Linked DNA regions of Caenorhabditis elegans. The protein of the gene in region 1 purifies or fractionates together with the protein of each later gene. This does not show direct contact. Each region holds a gene or a part of one and is shown on either strand. Other genes may lie near its edges. The genes, in order: ymel-1 and yop-1.

Region 1 (10,926 bases):
TAGACCCATTTTGCATATTTTCCCGTAATTTTTATATTTATTTCCCACAGATTTCTCTGTTTAGAAACCCCCGCAAAATATGGAAGAAGTCGACGAGAAAATTGAGGAGGCGATTCGAGTGATGGAGGCGCAAATCAAGGCAAAACGGGCGATTTTAGAGGAGTCACTACGGGTGGTCACAGATCCCAAGCAGATGGAAAATTGCAGAAAACGACGGCAATATATCAAAGAAGTACGGAACATGAGGATTTTTATTTGAAAATTAACGGAGATTCAAAAAGATTCAAAAATTGATAAATTCCCGCCAAAATGTTTTCTGAGAAATTTAAATTCCCCGCCAAAAATTAGCCTGAAGCCATGCCCTTTATTGGTTAAAATTTTAAAAAAACATATCCAAAAAATCTAGTTGTTGAGAATTTTCTACGAAAAAAGGTTATTATTACACGTCCGGAAGAAAACACCAACTAATTTTTTTTCGCCAAAGCTGGGTCTCGGCACGTGTGGTAAATATAAATTGGTGTAGATCGTGGCGAGACCCAATATAGCAGAAGAAATGGCCTGCGCCTTTAAAATGGACGTGGTCGGTTTTCACGACTTTGTAATATTTATTCAATTAAAAAAAACATTTTTTAATTTTTTTCAACTTTCAGACTCTTAACTGTGAATTATCGATTCCAATCACTGAAAATCAGATTTTTTCCATTGATTTTATCGATTCTTCCCGTTTCGAACGCCACGTAATCACCAGATTCGAAGTCAAAAATCGATTGGAAACTGATATTTTGTAATTAATTAATTAATTTTCTATTTAAAAAATTGATATTTTCAGATCAATCCAGGCGTCAATTGGCATTCCGAATACATTGATTCGATGGACTTTGTTTGAAAATTCACATTCTCCAAATATCCTGCAAAGTATCAGGTAATTGGGGAATTTTTGGGAACAATAAAATTCGAAAATTTATTTTAAAAGTTGTAAAAATACTGGGAAGATTCCCGAAAAATTTTCTAAAATTTTCAGAAAAAACGAAAAAAAAAAAAAATTATACATTCCTTAAAAATCTGACCTACTTTAAAGGCGCACACGCTTTTCCCAGTTTGGGGGGTCCCACCACGATTTGTTGTAGCGCCACGGTTCCCAAAACACACGTGGATCGTGGCGGGACCCAATGACCCAATGTTTGCGCATTCAAATCAGTTTAATTCCTCATATTTTCAGACCGAATTCGACAGTAGTTGTGTGCTTGGCAATTCCATTTTCGGCGTTTTTGGCCAGTGACACCGTAAATCTCATTTTCACAGGAAACCTCGTTCCAAGCAAAAGGCTACTGTAAGTTTTGAAATATTTTTGAAAAAAAAAAACGGGAAAATAAATACAAAATTCGATTTTCAATTTGTTTTAGAGGAAACAAGAATTTTCAAAAGAAATTGGAAATTTTTTTTAAGTTGTTCTCATTTTTCAATTTACTCTGAAAAAACCGAAAATTGATTGTTTTTCGACGACATCCTGGGCAGGGGTACTGTAGGATACTGTAGGATTAAGATTTCCTGAAGGTTACTGTAGTGGTACTAACGGCGGTCACTGTAAGACTATGGTAGCTCATTTAATTGGCTGCACTATAGGAGGATACTGTAGGGTTACTGTAGACTTTCCAAAGATTACTGTAACCATAAACATTCCATTTCCTTACAGACTTCATCCGACCGCGTATCCAGTAATTGGCGCCAATTTACGTGTTGAACCATACCCAGAAGCCGATTTTTCTGTGAGAATCGATTTTTCCGAAGCGATCGAAGAATTGGACGTGAAATCAATCGAATTCGTTGATGAGTCGAGTATGTTAAGCTCCGCCTATTAATGGCTTCAAAGAAATGCTCGAATTCAGACTATTGAAATTCCTTTGACATTTAAAAACAATTTTTAATTGTAGAAATATTAGCTTTAGGTTCCGCCCAGAAAGTGGTCGTCGACTTCGCCCCCTTCTAACCCACATTTTCTCTATTCCAGAATCCACTCGAATTATCCAATCACTGCTCACTGTGCTCCACCGTTTTCCTGTGCCAATTGTTCCGGATTTTGCCACATTTCGCCGAGAATTCCCTCATTTTTCGGCTAACGATTTCGACACGTGGCGTCTTTTTGTCGGCGCCGACAATTTTGATGGGCTCTTTTTGTTCACGGAGAGCAGTGATGACGTCACTCGGTGCCACGTCATCTCGGAGAACAGCTCAATTTGTGAAATGTTTTTGAGACTTCTGAATGAGAAGTGCCAATAAATTAATTTTCTTTTTTTCAAATTGTTTTCTAGAATCCAAAAACACATTTATATTCAACAGATCCGTACATCTAGAAAGCTACAACCACAGAGGAGAAAGAGAGGATGAAACCGGAAATTTTGTGGTCTCACAGCGATCGAGACACAAAATTCTCAGGGGACTATGAGAAGAGAGTTGAGAACCTACAAGGAAAATTGGTACAAAATCGAGAAAACCGGAGAAAAAACGGGAAAAAATTGGGGAAAGAGAAGAATGCTAAATAGGTGAATGAATACCTGTAGACGAGAAGATGGAAGAAAAATAGGAAAAAAATCACTCAATTTACACGAAAACTTCGATTTTCTAAGATTTTCGAGCGAACTTAAACTGAAATAAAATCAGAAAAAGGAGGAAAAAGTACAGAACTTAGAATATTTAAAGAAAAAAAAAGAAGAAATTATTGCTTTCCACGGCCTTCTTCCTCGAATAAATGAAGAACAAGCGACGGTTGATTTCGTTTTGTTTCATTACTTTTCTTCACTGCCGCCGGTGTTGGTCGCTTGATTTTCTGTCCACTGATAACACGTTTCACCTCGTCAGCTGAGAGAGTTTCGTATTCGAGAAGAGCTTCCGCGAGCAGTTGATGCTCTTTCTGCAAAAAATCGGAAATTTTGAGAATTTTTGAAGGAATCTTTTTAAATTAATTTTTTAACAAAAAAAGCTGACGTCGTATTTTTCAAGTTTTTAGCAACATTTTTGTTTTAGTTTTAAAAAATCTGGAAAATTAGAAAATTCCAAAAAAAAAACCTTCTTGGTTTCCAAAATGACTTTAGCCCTTTTATAGCTCTCCTGTAGTACACGATTAATCTCTGCATCAATTAGTTCGGCTGTTTGTGGTGCCAAATCCGACACTTTTACCAGTGCACTTTCATTGTCTTGGGCAGTGAAATCACGGAGTCCGACCTGGAATTTTAAATTTAAAATATAGAAAATTTTTAGCGGGAAATTAGAATTTAGTTTTTAAAAACTTCTGGTGGGATATTCAAATTTTTAAAGAAAATTGTTGGCGACAGCTTCAAAAATAAAAAAAAAATTGCGGGAAATTTTAATTGTTTTTTTTTTCGGAGAGATATTCAAATTCACTGAAACAATTTTTAGCGAAAAAAAATTGCGAGAAATTTGAATATTTTGAAAAAATTATGGCAGGAAATTCAAATTTTCCGAAAAAAAATTTTGCGCCAAGCTCATATTTCCTAAGAAAAAAGTATTCCCAAGCCCCCTTCTCACCTTATCACTCATTCCAAAAACCTTAACCATCTGCACCGCCAACTGAGTGGCCTTACTCAAATCATCCGCAGCACCAGTGGTGACCTTATCATCTCCAAAGATGAGCTCTTCAGCCACCCGACCGCCCATCATCACATCCAACGTAGCAAGCATTTGTGCTTTAGTCAACTGATAACTATCCTTTTCAGGAAGCATTGCAGTGTGTCCGAGAGATTGTCCACGTGGAATAATAGTTACTTTATGCAGAGGTGTAGCATCTTTTGTGTACAAAGACACCAGAGTATGACCTGCTTCATGATAAGCTGTATTTCTATTTGCTTCTTCATCAGGAATCCTTCCTCCAGTACGTGCCGGTCCCATCAGTACTCGATCCCTTGCTTCATCTAAATAGGCCATCGTAACCTCCACAGCATTATCAGTCGCCGCTTTCAATGCCGCCTGATTCACCATATTCTCAATGTCGGCTCCAGTGAATCCTGTCGATCCCTTCGCCAGAACTTTAGGATCAATTCCACCGGAATGCACGATTTTTGAGAGATAAAAGTTGAAAATGTCCACACGCCCAGCGAGATCAGGTTTTGGAACTGTGACACGAACATCGAAGCGTCCGGGTCGGAGAAGGGCCTTGTCGAGGTCGTCGACACGATTTGTTGCGGCAATTACAATGATTCCCTCGTTACGGGTGAAGCCATCCATTTCACTGAAAACATCAGGAGATGAGTTTTTAATGCACAAAATTGAGCAAATTGTTACCTGAGAAGTTGATTAATCGTTTGATTTGCATATGGATGGATGGAATTCGAAACACGTTTTGAGCCAACTGAATCGATTTCGTCGATGAAAATGATGCATGGAGCACTGAAAAATATAAATCTTGGATTTTTTTCGGGGCTTTTACTTAATTTTACGAAATTTTTTTTTGTCAAAGTTTTAGCGAATATCATACAAATCGATAATTCCGAGAGGGCAACAAAATTGAATTTTAATTTTAAAATAAACATTAAATTTTGGCCAATTTAAGAAAACTAATGGTTAAAAAAAACAAAAATTTTGTAAAATGTCTCCAAAATAGCCTGCTCACCGAGCCTTAGCCTTATCGAAAAGATCCCTAACACGACGGGCTCCCTGTCCAACAAGTACTTCATCAAATTCTGATCCAGCAGTATGGAAGAATGGAACCTGTGCTTCACCGGCTATTGCTCTCGCGAGCAACGTTTTTCCGGTTCCGGGGGGTCCGACGAGTAGGACACCTTTCGGTAATCGACCACCAAGTCTTGAGTATTTTTCTGGATCTTTCAGGTAATCCACGATCTCCTCCACTTCCAATTTCGCTTCGTCCATCTGGAAATTGAAAAAATATTGAAAAAAATTCTTAGAACACTTTAAGTTTGATACAATTATCTTAAAGTTTTTTTTTTCAAAAGTCAAAAAATCAAAAAAAAAAAAGTTTAAATTTTTTTTTTAATTTTAAAGGTTTTTTTTCCAAAAAATTCGGCAAAATAAACATTTTTGCAATTTTTCGAATTTCAGAAAAAAATTTAAGGGTTTTTTCAATGATTTCGTGTCGTTTTTTAAATGAAACAAATCGCAAATTTCGGTAAATTTTTCCAAAAAACTCACTCCTCTAACATCATCGAAAGTAACTTGAACATCCTCTGGATTGACTTCTTGTGGATTCGAGAAGAACAATGAACCAATTTGTCGATCGCCTACACGCACACGAATTCCTTTATTTAGGAGATCAATTCATAAACTTTTTAATTTTTTTTTGAAAAAAAAAAAATTTTCTTCTAAAATGTTCAAGATATGCAGTTTTTGAAAAGTTTTACAAAATTTCCAAAACAATTTTTAAAAACCGATTTTTAGACTTGAAATAAAACATTTTTAAAAATTAAATATTATAGAATATTTAGTTAATTTTAGAAATAAATACGAATTTTCAAAACCTGGAAATTGTATTTTTAATTTTTAATTCCTAAATTTAAAAAAAAAACTTTTTTCCAAAACTTTTCAAATATGCAGTTTTGAAAAATTTCGGACGTTTTCAGCAATTTTTTCGAAATTCTAAACAAAATTCAACAATTTTGAAGCGAAATGTGTTTTTTTTTTAATTTTAAATTTTTAAAATTCAGGAGAAAAAATGTCTAAAAATTTAATGTTTCAAGGAAAAAAAAATTTTTTTTTCAATTTTTCACTATAAATTCTCGAAATAAAACGCACTTCCAGTCAAATATCCGAAAAAGATGCAAAAAACAAGAAAAATGTAGAACCGCGTGAGCGTATTCGATTTTTTCCCATCTTTTCCAGCTCCCGAAACACCATTTGACAATAATCCCTTAACAAATCCATCAGTATATGTTCTCTGTTGATTTTCTGGTAATTTCTTGAGATCCGACTCATATTGATTCCATTTTTCAACTCCTCCTTCTGACGTTTTTTGCTTTTTTCCAGCGAGAAGCTCTGAGAAATAGGTTAACGGAGATTTCACTTCATCTTGTGTCGGTTTTCCGGCATTTCCGACTCCGAATGTCTGTTTTCGAGTACGAAATCCGCGGCGTTGGATATCTGAGACAATTGGAATTTTTTGAAAAATGTAAAAAAAATTATCGTATTTTTTATTTTAAAAATACCAATAAAATACCAGTATCTAGAGGTTTTTTTTGTAAAATTTCCTATAAATTTTAATTAAAATTAGTGGAAAAAATTCAGAAAAAGGAAATTTTTAAAAACAATTTTTAACGAAAAAAAGTAGATTTTTTAAAAATAATTTTAGGAAATATTTAGAAAATGCTTGTAATAAATTTTCATAAAATAAAAAAAAATTGGAAAAAAACCTACTTCCAAACAATATTTTATATATTTTTGAAATTAAAATAAATAAAAAATTTTATTTCAAAAAAATTAACATAAATATTGATTTGAAGTTGGTTTTTTAAAATGAAAATTTTTGTTTTGTTTTTCAATTATTTTTATATTATTCTATGAAAATTTCCTAAAATAATGAAAAATCTAACTAATAAAAAATTGTTTTAAAATATTCAAGTTTTCGATAAAATTTTCCTTTTTTGTAAAAATTGTGAAAATTTTAAAAAAAACCTATTTTAGATCAAAAAATAAGTTTTTTTGCAATTTTTTTAAAGTTTCAAACTTTTTTCTGAATTTTTTCTTATTTTACAAAAAGGAGCAAAATTTCCACGCAGCTTAAACTTACAAAACGAAGAGCTCGCCGGAATTATCCGAACGACAGCATCATCATAATTCAGCGAAATTTCAGATTTTCTAGCGATCCGCCTTGAAAGCGTACTATCTCTGAGAATATTATTCATTTGATTGATTGTAACAGGTGAAGAAGTATCAGAACTGAATTGTCTCCAAACTTGATGATATACTCTTGAAAGTGATGCTGCTGTTGCTTCAATATCCAACGGTTTCCTATTGATTCCTGGAAATTTGGATTTTTTGAAAATTATTACAGGAACACAAAATTCTGAGAATGAGTATTGGGCAACGTAAAAAATCTCGAAGCGAAAACTACAGTAATTCTTCAAGTGAAAACTGTAGTGCTTGTGTCGATTTTTTTGCTTAATTTTAATATTCTATCGATAAAAAAAATGATTTTAAGAATCGAGCCCGTAAATCGACACAAACGCTACAGTAGTCATTTAAAGAATTACTGTAGTTTTCGCACGATATTATTTGCGCGTCGAATATGTTGTGTGATACGCATTCTCAGAATATTGTGCTCCCGTAATATGTAGTTTTTGAATATATTGTGCTAATTTTTTAAACTTTATTTTCTAATTACCATACTAAATGTCTTAATATTAAAAAAAAGCGTATATTGCTTTCTGCAAGCTTTTTAATTTATAAAGAACAATTTTAATTTCATTTTAAATTGATTGTTTTTCGCCCGGCTAAATAATAATTTCTGATTCAAACAAATTGTTGAAAACTGAATACCTAAATGTTGCCAGCTAAAACATCAAAATCTAAGCATTTTCAGACCAAGAAATAGTTTTTTTTTTCATTTTTAGCTCAAAATCCCGTTGAAATTTTTTTTTCAAAAAGTACAATGTCATGTAAAAATCGACATTTTTCTTAAAATAAAATAAGTACGACATAATTATTGAAACAGAATTGTTAACAATTTTTTTAAATTTAAACTACATTTTTGCCTAATTTTTTACCAAATTTTGAAAATCATAAATTTCAAAAAATGAAATATTTTCAGCCGGATTAAAAAGAATTCCAGATCACCTAAAAATCGATCTTCTCCTCTATTTTTAAAAACTTTAAAAACAAACCATTTCGACTATTTCTGAGCAGTCCCGTATTCTGGAGCAAACCGCCAATGTTCAAATTGATCGCCGACTGCATAAGCTTTTTCTTCTGGAATTTTCAGAGAATACAAAAATTTATATTTCTATATATCTATAGAAAAAGATTTTCCGAGATTTCAGAGAAAAATAGTTACTACTGATAGGCGCAGTGACTAACTTCAGTTAGCCAGGAGCGAGAGTCCAGTGGAGCGCGTTTGCAATTTCCATGATGCAAACCGCGACGCCGCCGCCTCGTGTCAGGCAAAAATATTTCGGTTTCAGGTGACCTTTTTTCTTCGTTTGTATGCAATTTTTGTTGGCTAAATAAAACCGGCATTTTTCTTTCAAATGATGAGAAATAATATGGTAGTAATAATAATAATAATGAAAAAAAATGCGCACAAAAATTTGGGAATTTTTAGTCGTTACAAATTGAGAATGAGATGGCTCAGCAGGAAGAGGAGAAGGAAAAGGTTCTAGTTGTGATAATATTTAAATATATATATATAAAATAAGTGAGGTACCGAAAAAAAAACATTGAACAACAAATCAACAGCGGATAATTGGGTGGGAAAATGAATTAGAGGCTTGTTTTATGGGAAATTACGGGGACCGGGTGATGATATTTGTGACGTGGCAGAAGAATTTTGGGGAAAATGTGCAATTTTTCGGGTTGGGAATTTGAATTTTTCTTAATTTTGAGACTCAAAAAAGTGAGAAAAATTAAGAAAAAAAGGTTTTTTTTTCTCAATTTTTGTTCCAAATTTCAGACATTTTTGGGTTGGAAAAAATCCAAAAATTCTCCCAAAAACTGCCAGTTTTCTTCCAAAAAAAATCTGCAAAAAACTATGAAATTTTCTAATTTTACAGTAATGTAGGCAAAGTGCTACACTCAAAAAAAAAACAAAAATTAATTTTAAAAAACGAGAGATCGTCGTAATGGAAAAAATGGGGAAAAAACGAAAAAGTGCGAAATGAGATGTGACAGAGATTCATGTTTAGGATGGGATGGGATTCTGGAGAAAATGAAGATGAAGAAGCTTTCGAAATGAGAAATAAATTTGAATTTTGACATGGAAAACGCGAGAAAAATCAAAATTCGGCATTTCAAGAATTTTTGAATTAAAAAAATTTTTTTTCAGGGGGAAAAACCTGCTAAAAATGTACAAGTTTCTAGATTTTTCATAGGAAATCTGAATTTTTTGGCGTTAAAAAACACTGGAAATTACCAAATTAAATCTCAATTTACGTCAAAAATGGAGATTTCAGTAATTTTATCCAGAATTTTGTATATTTTTAGAGGAAAAAATGCGCATTATTCAAGATTTTTTGAGAACTTTTTTGGCGTGTTTTCCCTTTAAAAACTGTAAATTAAATGCTAAAATCTTGATATTTTTTCGTCGAAAAATTTGCAATTTTAGGAATATTTCACAATTTTCAATTTCAAAATTTCCAAATTCAAAAGCTGCTTCAGAAAAAAAAAAGAAAAAATGGGGAAAAATGACACTATTTGCTGGTTAACTCGGTATTGATGGTGGATTTCTTTCGATGATTATTGAGAAAATCGCGTTGCTCAAATGGTTTCTCGACAGAAGCAAAACGACGCCTTGACACAACTGCAGCATCCAATTCAAATTGATTCATATCAAATGGTGGATATTGATTGCCGTCTTCGTCGTCTTCAACTTCTCCGGCATTTGGTACTGCGAATGATGAGCTGTGTGCTGGTGTGGCGGCCGCCGATTTTTGAGCTGGTTGACGATTTCTTATTCGTTTGTCCGTTTCTCTCTGAAAAATGTGAATTTATTTGTGATTTTTTAACTTTAAAACATCAAAATTTCCCATAATCTCAGAAGTTTAAAAATCTTTTTTGAGAAAACCCACGAAACTACACAATAAAGATGTCCTAAAATATAAAAATTGATCAGTTTTTCTTCATTTTTTTCTAATTATCGATTTTCAGACATTCCGCAAAATTTTTGGCGATTTTTTTTAGAGTTTTACCAAATTTCATGTAGGTTACCAATTTTTTTTCCTGAAATTTGAAAAAAGTAGTTAGAAATCGCGAAAAAATCGAAGCCAGGCCATTAATTTGCGTGGGAATTCATGATTTCTAGCTTTTGTGCAAAATTTTTTAAAAAACTAAATTTTTTACAGTTTTACTGGGTATATTTAGAGCCTTTTTAGAAAAATATTAAAACTTTTTGAATAAAATTTAGTGCTGAAAAATGTGCTAAACTATGCTTTTTATTCGGTTTTAGATCTGAAAAATTGTAGATTTTGGGTTAATTCTTGTAAAAAATCACTTTTTTTCAGTTTTGAACCATTTTTCCATGATTTTAAAACTGGAGATAGGTAAAAAATGTATTTAAAACTTCAGGATCCTCACTAAATTTTTTTTTCAATATTTTTCAAAAACGTTCACATATTTTTGTCTAAAAATTCAATTTTTGAATAGAAATTTCAATCCAAAAAACTCTCCGAACCTTAATCCTTTCCCGTTCGGCATGCATCAGCTTATGATGTTTCTTGGCTACAGTAATCAGAAGATCATCTGATGATTTTTCTTTCTCTTCAGCTTCTTCCTGCTTAACAATTCCGTCCGTTGGTTCTTTATCTTGCCAATAGTCGTCGGGAATGGTACGGTAGGTGGGTACGTGAATACTCTGAAAGGAAAGTCAGTTTTGAACTATAAACGGTCGGAAAAAAAAATGGAAAAATCATCCAATTTGCTAATTTTTTCACAGATTTCAAGAAAAATACTGTTTTTGACCGATTTTTGAAAAATAAAACTACAATTTTTATTCCAAAAATATCAAAATTTCAGCGCATTTTCGATTTTTTTGTTGAAAATATCAAAATTCATAGTCAGCGAATTTTCATCTGGAAATCTCCAAATTTCAGTGAATTTTCTGAATTTTTATTTTAAAAACCTGCAAATTTACCTGATAAGACACCAACGTAGGCAATTGTGACACACAAATATCCTCATTCATAAAATCTTCAAATAAATAATCGAGATAGATTCCATTATTGAGTTTTGCTGCCACAGACATTTTCGATG
Region 2 (6,934 bases), on another chromosome or scaffold:
GGAAGGCCTTTTGTTTGGAAAATTCGAAGATTTGTGTCATTGTGGCTTCCATCAACACTGATATTTGATAAGAAATTTTGTGCGACGAGAATATGATAGTTACTCTTCTTTTTTACCATCTAAAATTGGAAAAACGAAAAGAAAAAGCTCGGAAATCCGATAAGAATTGTGTGAGTACGGTGTGCAAGCGTCTGCAACTTGTCGTCATTTATGGTGTACCAAGCGTGGTGTTTGCGTACTATTCGAATTTCGAAAAATAATTTCGTCGATTTTAGCCTTTTTCATCCAATTTTCCTGATAATTATCATGTTTATTCTTTGAAAAATTAGTTAAAAAATGTTATAATTAATGTATTATCTGAATTTTCGATAGGTGGAAGTTGAAAAATGAGCTTTATTTTCTATTTTAAGTAAAATCTGTTTCTTTGATGATTTTTCCATTCTTCATTTTCATTTCCCCCTGCAAATTCTCAATTTTTCAGAAAAATGAGTAAGACACATCCACCAGAGCTCAAAAAGTACATGGACAAGGAGATGGACTTGAAGCTCAACGGAAACCGTCGCGTCTCTGGAATCCTCCGCGGTTTCGATCCATTCATGAACATGGTCATCGACGTATGTTTCTTTTTCCGTTTTTGTCTAATTTATTCTAAAATTTAATATTGCAGGAAGCTGTCGAGTACCAAAAGGACGGAGGATCCGTCAACCTCGGCATGACTGTCATTCGCGGAAACTCCGTCGTCATCATGGAGCCCAAGGAGAGAATCTCCTAGATTTTTCGATCTCCACAATTTCCTGTCACTTTCTCAATGTTTTCATTTTCAAATTTTGATATTAAATTTTTGAACCTTTTTTTTGATAATTTTTGATAACTACGTGGTCAAAACCCACTTCTCATCTCTGATTCACGTGAATTTCGTATAGATAAGAACTTCGCAAATAGAATCAATTCACAAACAAATGTACCAAAAGTTATGTTTTATTATTGCAGGCATAAAAAAAATCAATCGTAAAGCTTTTTTTCAGCATTTTGTTTTTCCACGGCTCAAATTGAACGAAATAGTGTTCATTTTGAAGAGAGGCACGAAACAGAGTAACAAAAACACGGAGAGACTTGTGTATCCCTCTTCTCTTTCCACTATGTGCGGTCGACGACGCTCTCCACATTTTTCTCTCTTTATTCTTCTCGTTACTCTTACTCGGCACAACAGCAGCAAAAAAGAATACTCTTTCCCCACTTCTTATCTCTTTTTCTGCCGACCTATTTTCTTCTTTCAAAACAGAAAAATGTTCCACACACACGCCTATCATCATCCGAAAGCTGTACGAGATGTGCTTTCTCATCTTTCCGTACTCTTGTGGCTGCAGCCGTCGAAGAGTTGAAATATCAATTTTCAAAACGCGGCAGATTCTCAGCCGGAATTCAGTGAATTCGCTTGATTTCTCGCCAAAATATAGAAATCAGACGATTTATCTGAAAATAACACCCATTTCAGTTGAAACATGCGAGAAAATGCTGAAAAATAGCCTGAATTTGCTAATTTCAGGCCATTTTTGAGCTCTTCCTCAAGTGTTTCGACTGAAATAAATGTTTGTTTTAGATAAATCAAGTGATTTTCTATAATTTCACATCAATTTTAAATGAATCAACATGTCACAATAGGTCATTTTGAAAAATTGGCGCCAATCCCCAAACCTGATCTGGATTTGAACAAGAGTTTTCTACTTCGATTTCACATTTTGCTGAGAAAAACCGAAAATTATCGATGTTCTCTTTTGAAAATTGAACGCTTTTCAGTGATAATTAGGAAAAATCACCTTTTTTCAAGTCGAATAATTTCAAAAGCTTCAGAAAATCCAATGTTTTGACTCGAATTCAGGAAAAACCGGAAGAAAATCGCGAAATAATATAAAATCCGAATAAAAAAAACGCGATTTTTTTCAATTTTGGCTGAATTCTCCACACTCCAACTGATTGATCGTTCATTTTTTAAAGGAATTTAGCCAAAATTGCAAAATCCCGATTTTAAAAATAAAAAATTAATTCTGTTATGATTCCGCGTTTTTTATTTTGTAATAATTCCCATTTACGCCGTCTTTTAAAAATGCAGACCCACAATTTTTCTGGTGAACATTTCAAATCAATTCAAATTATTTTGATCTGATCTCCGGCGCGAATCACTTGTACTTTGTTCTCTCTCCTCCCGTCTCCTCCGTGGCACTATGTCATTCTGAAGTTGTTTCAATGACAAATCACTCACGCACACACACACACACAATGGATTGTGCCCTTTGTGTTGCCGTTTGACTATCATCGATTGATTCCATTCCCGTTCCGTTTTCGCCGTGCTCTCTCTCTCTGGGTTTTTCGTCTTCTCCCGGGAACACTTGGCCAGTTATCACTCGCTCTTTCTGTCCTCCTCTCAACAGCTATTGGCTACTACTACTACTGCTGCTGCTGCTGATCCGGCTCCGGTTGGCTATAGGCACATTTTGATGCGATTTGTGTGTGTGTGTTCTTTGGAGATTCAATTTGAAGAACTCTTCGCCTTTTTTGTATAAGTTTTCTTTTCGGGGGTGAAAAAATTCGCATCTTTATTCTCTTTAAGGTGGTGTAGTCTAATTTTTTTAAAAATAGCTTTATTAGACTCAAAATTGTCTGAAAACACCGAATTTCATAGTGTAACTTCTCAAAAAAAGTTTATGACGGCTCCAAAATGGCCTAAAATTAGTTAAAATTTGAAATTCGACCAACTTGTCAAGCGGCTGGAAACAAAATCACCGTCAAATTTTGAGTATACAATGTAATTATCTTGCGTTTTTAACTTCATTTAGGTATTTTAAAGTCCATGGACGGCGAGATTTCACAATTTTTTTAACCAAATCTCGCCGTCCATCGACTTTAAAGTACCTAAATCGAGTTGAAAACGCAAGATAATTGGATTGTATACTCAAAATTTTACGGTAATTTCAAAAAAAAGTTTCCAGCCGCTTGACAAGTCGGCCAAATTTAAAATTTTAACAAATTTTTAGACCATTTTTTCAGCCGTCAAAACTTTTTTTTTGAGAAGTTTTCAAGAAGTTTCATTATGAAATTCGGTGTTTTCAGACAATTTTGAGTCTAATAAAGCAATTAAAAAATTCGACTACACCACCACCTCAAAAATTTATAAATTAAATATATTGAGAATATTTTACCTGGGGTTTGGTCCCTAAGCTAGGCTTCTGAGCAAGATAAAAATTGAAAAAGGTGATAAATTCATCACTTTTTTCTCAATTTTTTGGCTCAGAGGACTAGCTTGGGGCCCAAACTGTTCACTTTCTCTCAGAATTCCGAATTTTTGACCCCGGAAACAGAATAAAAATGCACAGCCCTGACTGGTTCACATCATAACTCTTTTTATTTTATCGCTTTTTTGTCTCTTCTTCTTCTCCGCCGCCAAGTCATTCCTCTCAACATCCAATTTTCCAGCGCCCAATGCCTGTCCCACCACAAGTGCAAAAGGTCTTGGACGATGTCGACAAGCAGCTCCACGAGCCGAGCACCGTCACCAACGTGCTGGCGACCGTTGAGCAGAAGACCGGAGTCAAGCGGCTTCATTTGGTGCTCGGCGTCGTCGGTCTTCAGGCTCTCTACCTCATTTTCGGACATTCCGCCCAGCTTGTGTGCAACTTTATGGGATTCGTCTACCCGGCTTACATGAGGTTCGCGAATTTTGCAACAAAGAAAACTGCCGCACAGAAAAAGAGGCGGGGCGTAATTTTGCAACCCTGCGGCACGGATTTTCGCTCTTTTTTGTTGATTTTTTTAAATTCTCATAAGATTGTGAGGACGCTATCAAAATTTATTTATCGATCCTTGCATTTTGCAAAAAGTTTTGTCGCACAGAAAGTGGGGCGGAGCGTGCTTTCGCAACACCGCCGCACGGGGTTTGTCTCCGCCCATTTTCCACAGCTTTTCTTGTTGATTTTCTCAAAAAAGTTTTGATTTTACTTGTCTTTTTCTTTTCTTTTTCGAATTGGATCACATTTTCATTCGAAAAAAAGGGGCAAAAACAAGAAAAATCGAAACTTTTATTGAAAAAAAATATACAAGAAGAGCAGTGGAAACATGGCGGAGACAAACCCCGTGCGGCAATGTTGCGGAAGCTCGCTCCGCCCCAATTTCTGTGCGACAAAAATTTTTGCAAAATGCAAGGATCGATAAATAAATTTTGATAGTATCCTCACAATCTTATGGGAATCAAAAAAAATAACAAAACAAAAGGAGCGAAAAACCGTGCCGCAGTGTTGCAAAATTACGCCCCGCCTCTCTTTCTGTGCGACTTTAATCAAAATTTATCGTTTAAAAAAATTTGAAACCCATTTTTTAAATGATTTTTTTTTCAGTATCAAGGCCATCGAATCAAGCAACAAGGAAGACGACACTCAATGGTTGACCTACTGGGTCATATTCGCCATACTCTCAGTCGTCGAGTTCTTCTCCGTTCAAATCGTCGCCGTTTTCCCAGTCTATTGGCTCTTCAAGTCGATCTTCCTGCTCTACCTCTACCTTCCAAGCTTCCTCGGAGCCGCCAAGCTCTACCATAGATTTGTGAAGCCAGTCGCCGCCAGACACTCGGGATCCATTGACGCCAAGATTGGAAATTTCGCCGATAGAGTGAACAGTGCCGCCGGAAAGCTCGCCAACGAAGTCCGAGATCACATGGAATGATTTCTTCTTGAGCTAAATTTTATTATTACTACCACCAATACTATCAACTTCCCCCAGATTGCCCACCAAAATTCCCTTTTTTGCCTTTTTTTTTATTTCTTTGTTCGGTTAGGCTTCTCCCCCCTCCCCTCCTTACTCCGATCTTTGTTCGTTCTCATTTTGTCCAACGATCCATTCTTTTTAGACATAATGAATACTCCACAATGGTAAATTTATTCTCTTTTTTGTGTGTGTTCGTAGAAGAGAAATCGATTTGCCACGCAATACTTGATAATGATATGTATACGGTGGGAAAATTATGTAGAAAAATCTACAGAAATGGACGAATATCGAGAGCTGATTAGTGTGCTTCCACTGGAAACTGTAGAATATGCATTTGCATATGGATCAGGTTGGTTTTTAAAGGTGCACACTGAAAATTTGGAGGGTCCCGGCGCGATCCACGAGTTTTTTCAGACACAGCTTAAAAAATCCTGAAAAAAACGGTGTTTTTATTGTAAAATTCAAGTTTTTCATTTGAAAAACAAAAATTTGACTATTATATAAAAACAGAAAAAAAAATCAAAGTGCAAGCGCGCTCCACGGACAAAAAATGCTCCGCCCCGAAATGTTGGGTCTCGTTAGGTATTTTGAAAAATTAAATGAATTTCAACAAATTTCGCCATAAAAATCGACAAAACAACGAAAAAATGACAAAAAATGTTTAAAAATTGAAGATTTTCCCGCCAATACCTAACGAGACCCAACGATTTGGGGCGGAGCGCTTTAATTTTGCCGAGGAGCGCGTTTGCACATATTATTATTATTTTTCCGCGTAATAACGATATTTTTTAGGTTTTAAAAAAAGGAAAATGTTTAGAATTGTAAAAAAATCAATAATTTTTAGATTTTCCGTTAGAAAATTTTTTTTTTCACATTTTCGAAAAAATGTCAACAATTTTTCGATTTTCCGAACAGTTTCAAATTTTTTTTCATAATTAAAAAACGAACATTTTGCTATTATATAGACGCAGAAAAATGATCGAGGTGCAAGCGCGCTCCACGGACAAGAAAAACGCTCCGCCCCGAAATATTGGGTCTCGTTAGGTATTTTGGCAATTTAAATGCATTTCAACAAATTTCGGCATAAAAATCATTAAAACAACGGAAAAATGACAGAAATGTTTGAAAATTGAAGATTTTCCCGTCAATTCCTAACGAGATCCAACGTTTTGGGGCGGAGCGTTCGCATGTCGCAGTGGAGCGCGTTTTCACATAGATTTCAAAAGGGGAATTTCCCCCATAATAACGACTTTTTTTTAAAATATAATTTTTTAAGTAAAAAAACCAAAAATTTTTAAATTTCCCGGAAAAAATCGATATTTTTTCACATTTTCGAAACAAAATTCAACCACTTTTCGATTTTTTCGGGAAAATTCCCAAAAAAACAATTTTTTTCCTAAAAAATTAACTCTAAAAATTTACTTTTCCAGGTGCAATCCAGCAACAAAATGAGGATAAATCGGAAAAAATGGTGGATTTTGTGATTGTCACTAAAAATGCTCAAGAATTCCACCGCGACAACATTCTCAAAAATCCCCAACACTACAGCCTACTCCGGCTTATGGGCCCGAAAATGATCGAGAAAATTCAGTGTAATTTTGCGGCTCGTGTCTATTACAATACTCATGTAAAAGTCGGGAAGCGGAAGATCAAGTACGGAGTGATTTCGTACGAGAATGTGAAGCAGGATCTTCTGGATTGGAGGTGGATTTATATTTCTGGGCGGCTACACAAGCCGGTACTGGAGGTGATCAAGCCGCGGCAGGATATGTGTGATCTGGTGACTGAGAATCGTAGATCAGCGCTTCATTCATCGCTTCTTCTACTTCCAGAATCTTTTACACTTAAGCAATTATTTCATAAAATCGTCGGGCTCTCTTATACTGGAGATTTTCGAATGGTCGTTGGAGAGGATAAGAATAAAATCAATAAAATCGTCGAGGGAAATTACGAGGAGCTTCTCAGAGTCTACGAGCCACTTATGAACGATGATGCTCGACTGTCGGTGATGTCGCCGGCGAAACTGATTCAGGATGGATCGACGACGGCGATCTATCATCGATTGAATCTTTTGCCATCGGAAGTGTTGAATCGGATTCAGAAGAATATGAATAGAGTGCAGAAAAGGCAGCGGGATGCTGAAGAGGTCTAGAAAATTATAATTGGCGCGCAAAATAGG

The links.
Region 2: the proteins of ymel-1 (region 1) and yop-1 fractionate together in Caenorhabditis elegans (co-fractionation; one large-scale study listed by BioGRID). This does not show direct contact.

The regions. Positions count from the first base shown.
Region 1 is NC_003281.10:10,413,145-10,424,070, reverse strand, and holds ymel-1 (ATP-dependent zinc metalloprotease YME1 homolog), read right to left. Parts: upstream 7,933-10,926; 5' UTR 7,921-7,932; coding exon 7,848-7,920; intron 6,986-7,847; coding exon 6,755-6,985; intron 6,109-6,754; coding exon 5,764-6,108; intron 5,271-5,763; coding exon 5,164-5,270; intron 4,885-5,163; coding exon 4,625-4,884; intron 4,402-4,624; coding exon 4,297-4,401; intron 4,244-4,296; coding exon 3,544-4,243; intron 3,220-3,543; coding exon 3,064-3,219; intron 2,909-3,063; coding exon 2,714-2,908; 3' UTR 2,312-2,713; downstream 1-2,311. Other genes in the region: M03C11.6 (BBS2_C domain-containing protein), read left to right, coding at 80-232, 651-784, 830-922, 1,220-1,330, 1,694-1,836, 2,009-2,277; M03C11.3 (PH domain-containing protein), read right to left, coding at 9,369-9,650, 10,349-10,528, 10,808-10,926. UniProt on the Caenorhabditis elegans protein: ATP-dependent metalloprotease that catalyzes the degradation of folded and unfolded proteins with a suitable degron sequence in the mitochondrial intermembrane region. Plays an important role in regulating mitochondrial morphology and function.
Region 2 is NC_003279.8:2,726,533-2,733,466, forward strand, and holds yop-1 (Receptor expression-enhancing protein), read left to right. Parts: upstream 1-3,471; 5' UTR 3,472-3,477; coding exon 3,478-3,704; intron 3,705-4,388; coding exon 4,389-4,713; 3' UTR 4,714-4,921; downstream 4,922-6,934. Other genes in the region: Y71F9B.6 (Cyclin N-terminal domain-containing protein), read right to left, coding at 1-119; snr-7 (putative small nuclear ribonucleoprotein G), read left to right, coding at 486-614, 668-772; Y71F9B.2 (Phosphatidate cytidylyltransferase, mitochondrial), read left to right, coding at 5,032-5,104, 6,186-6,901.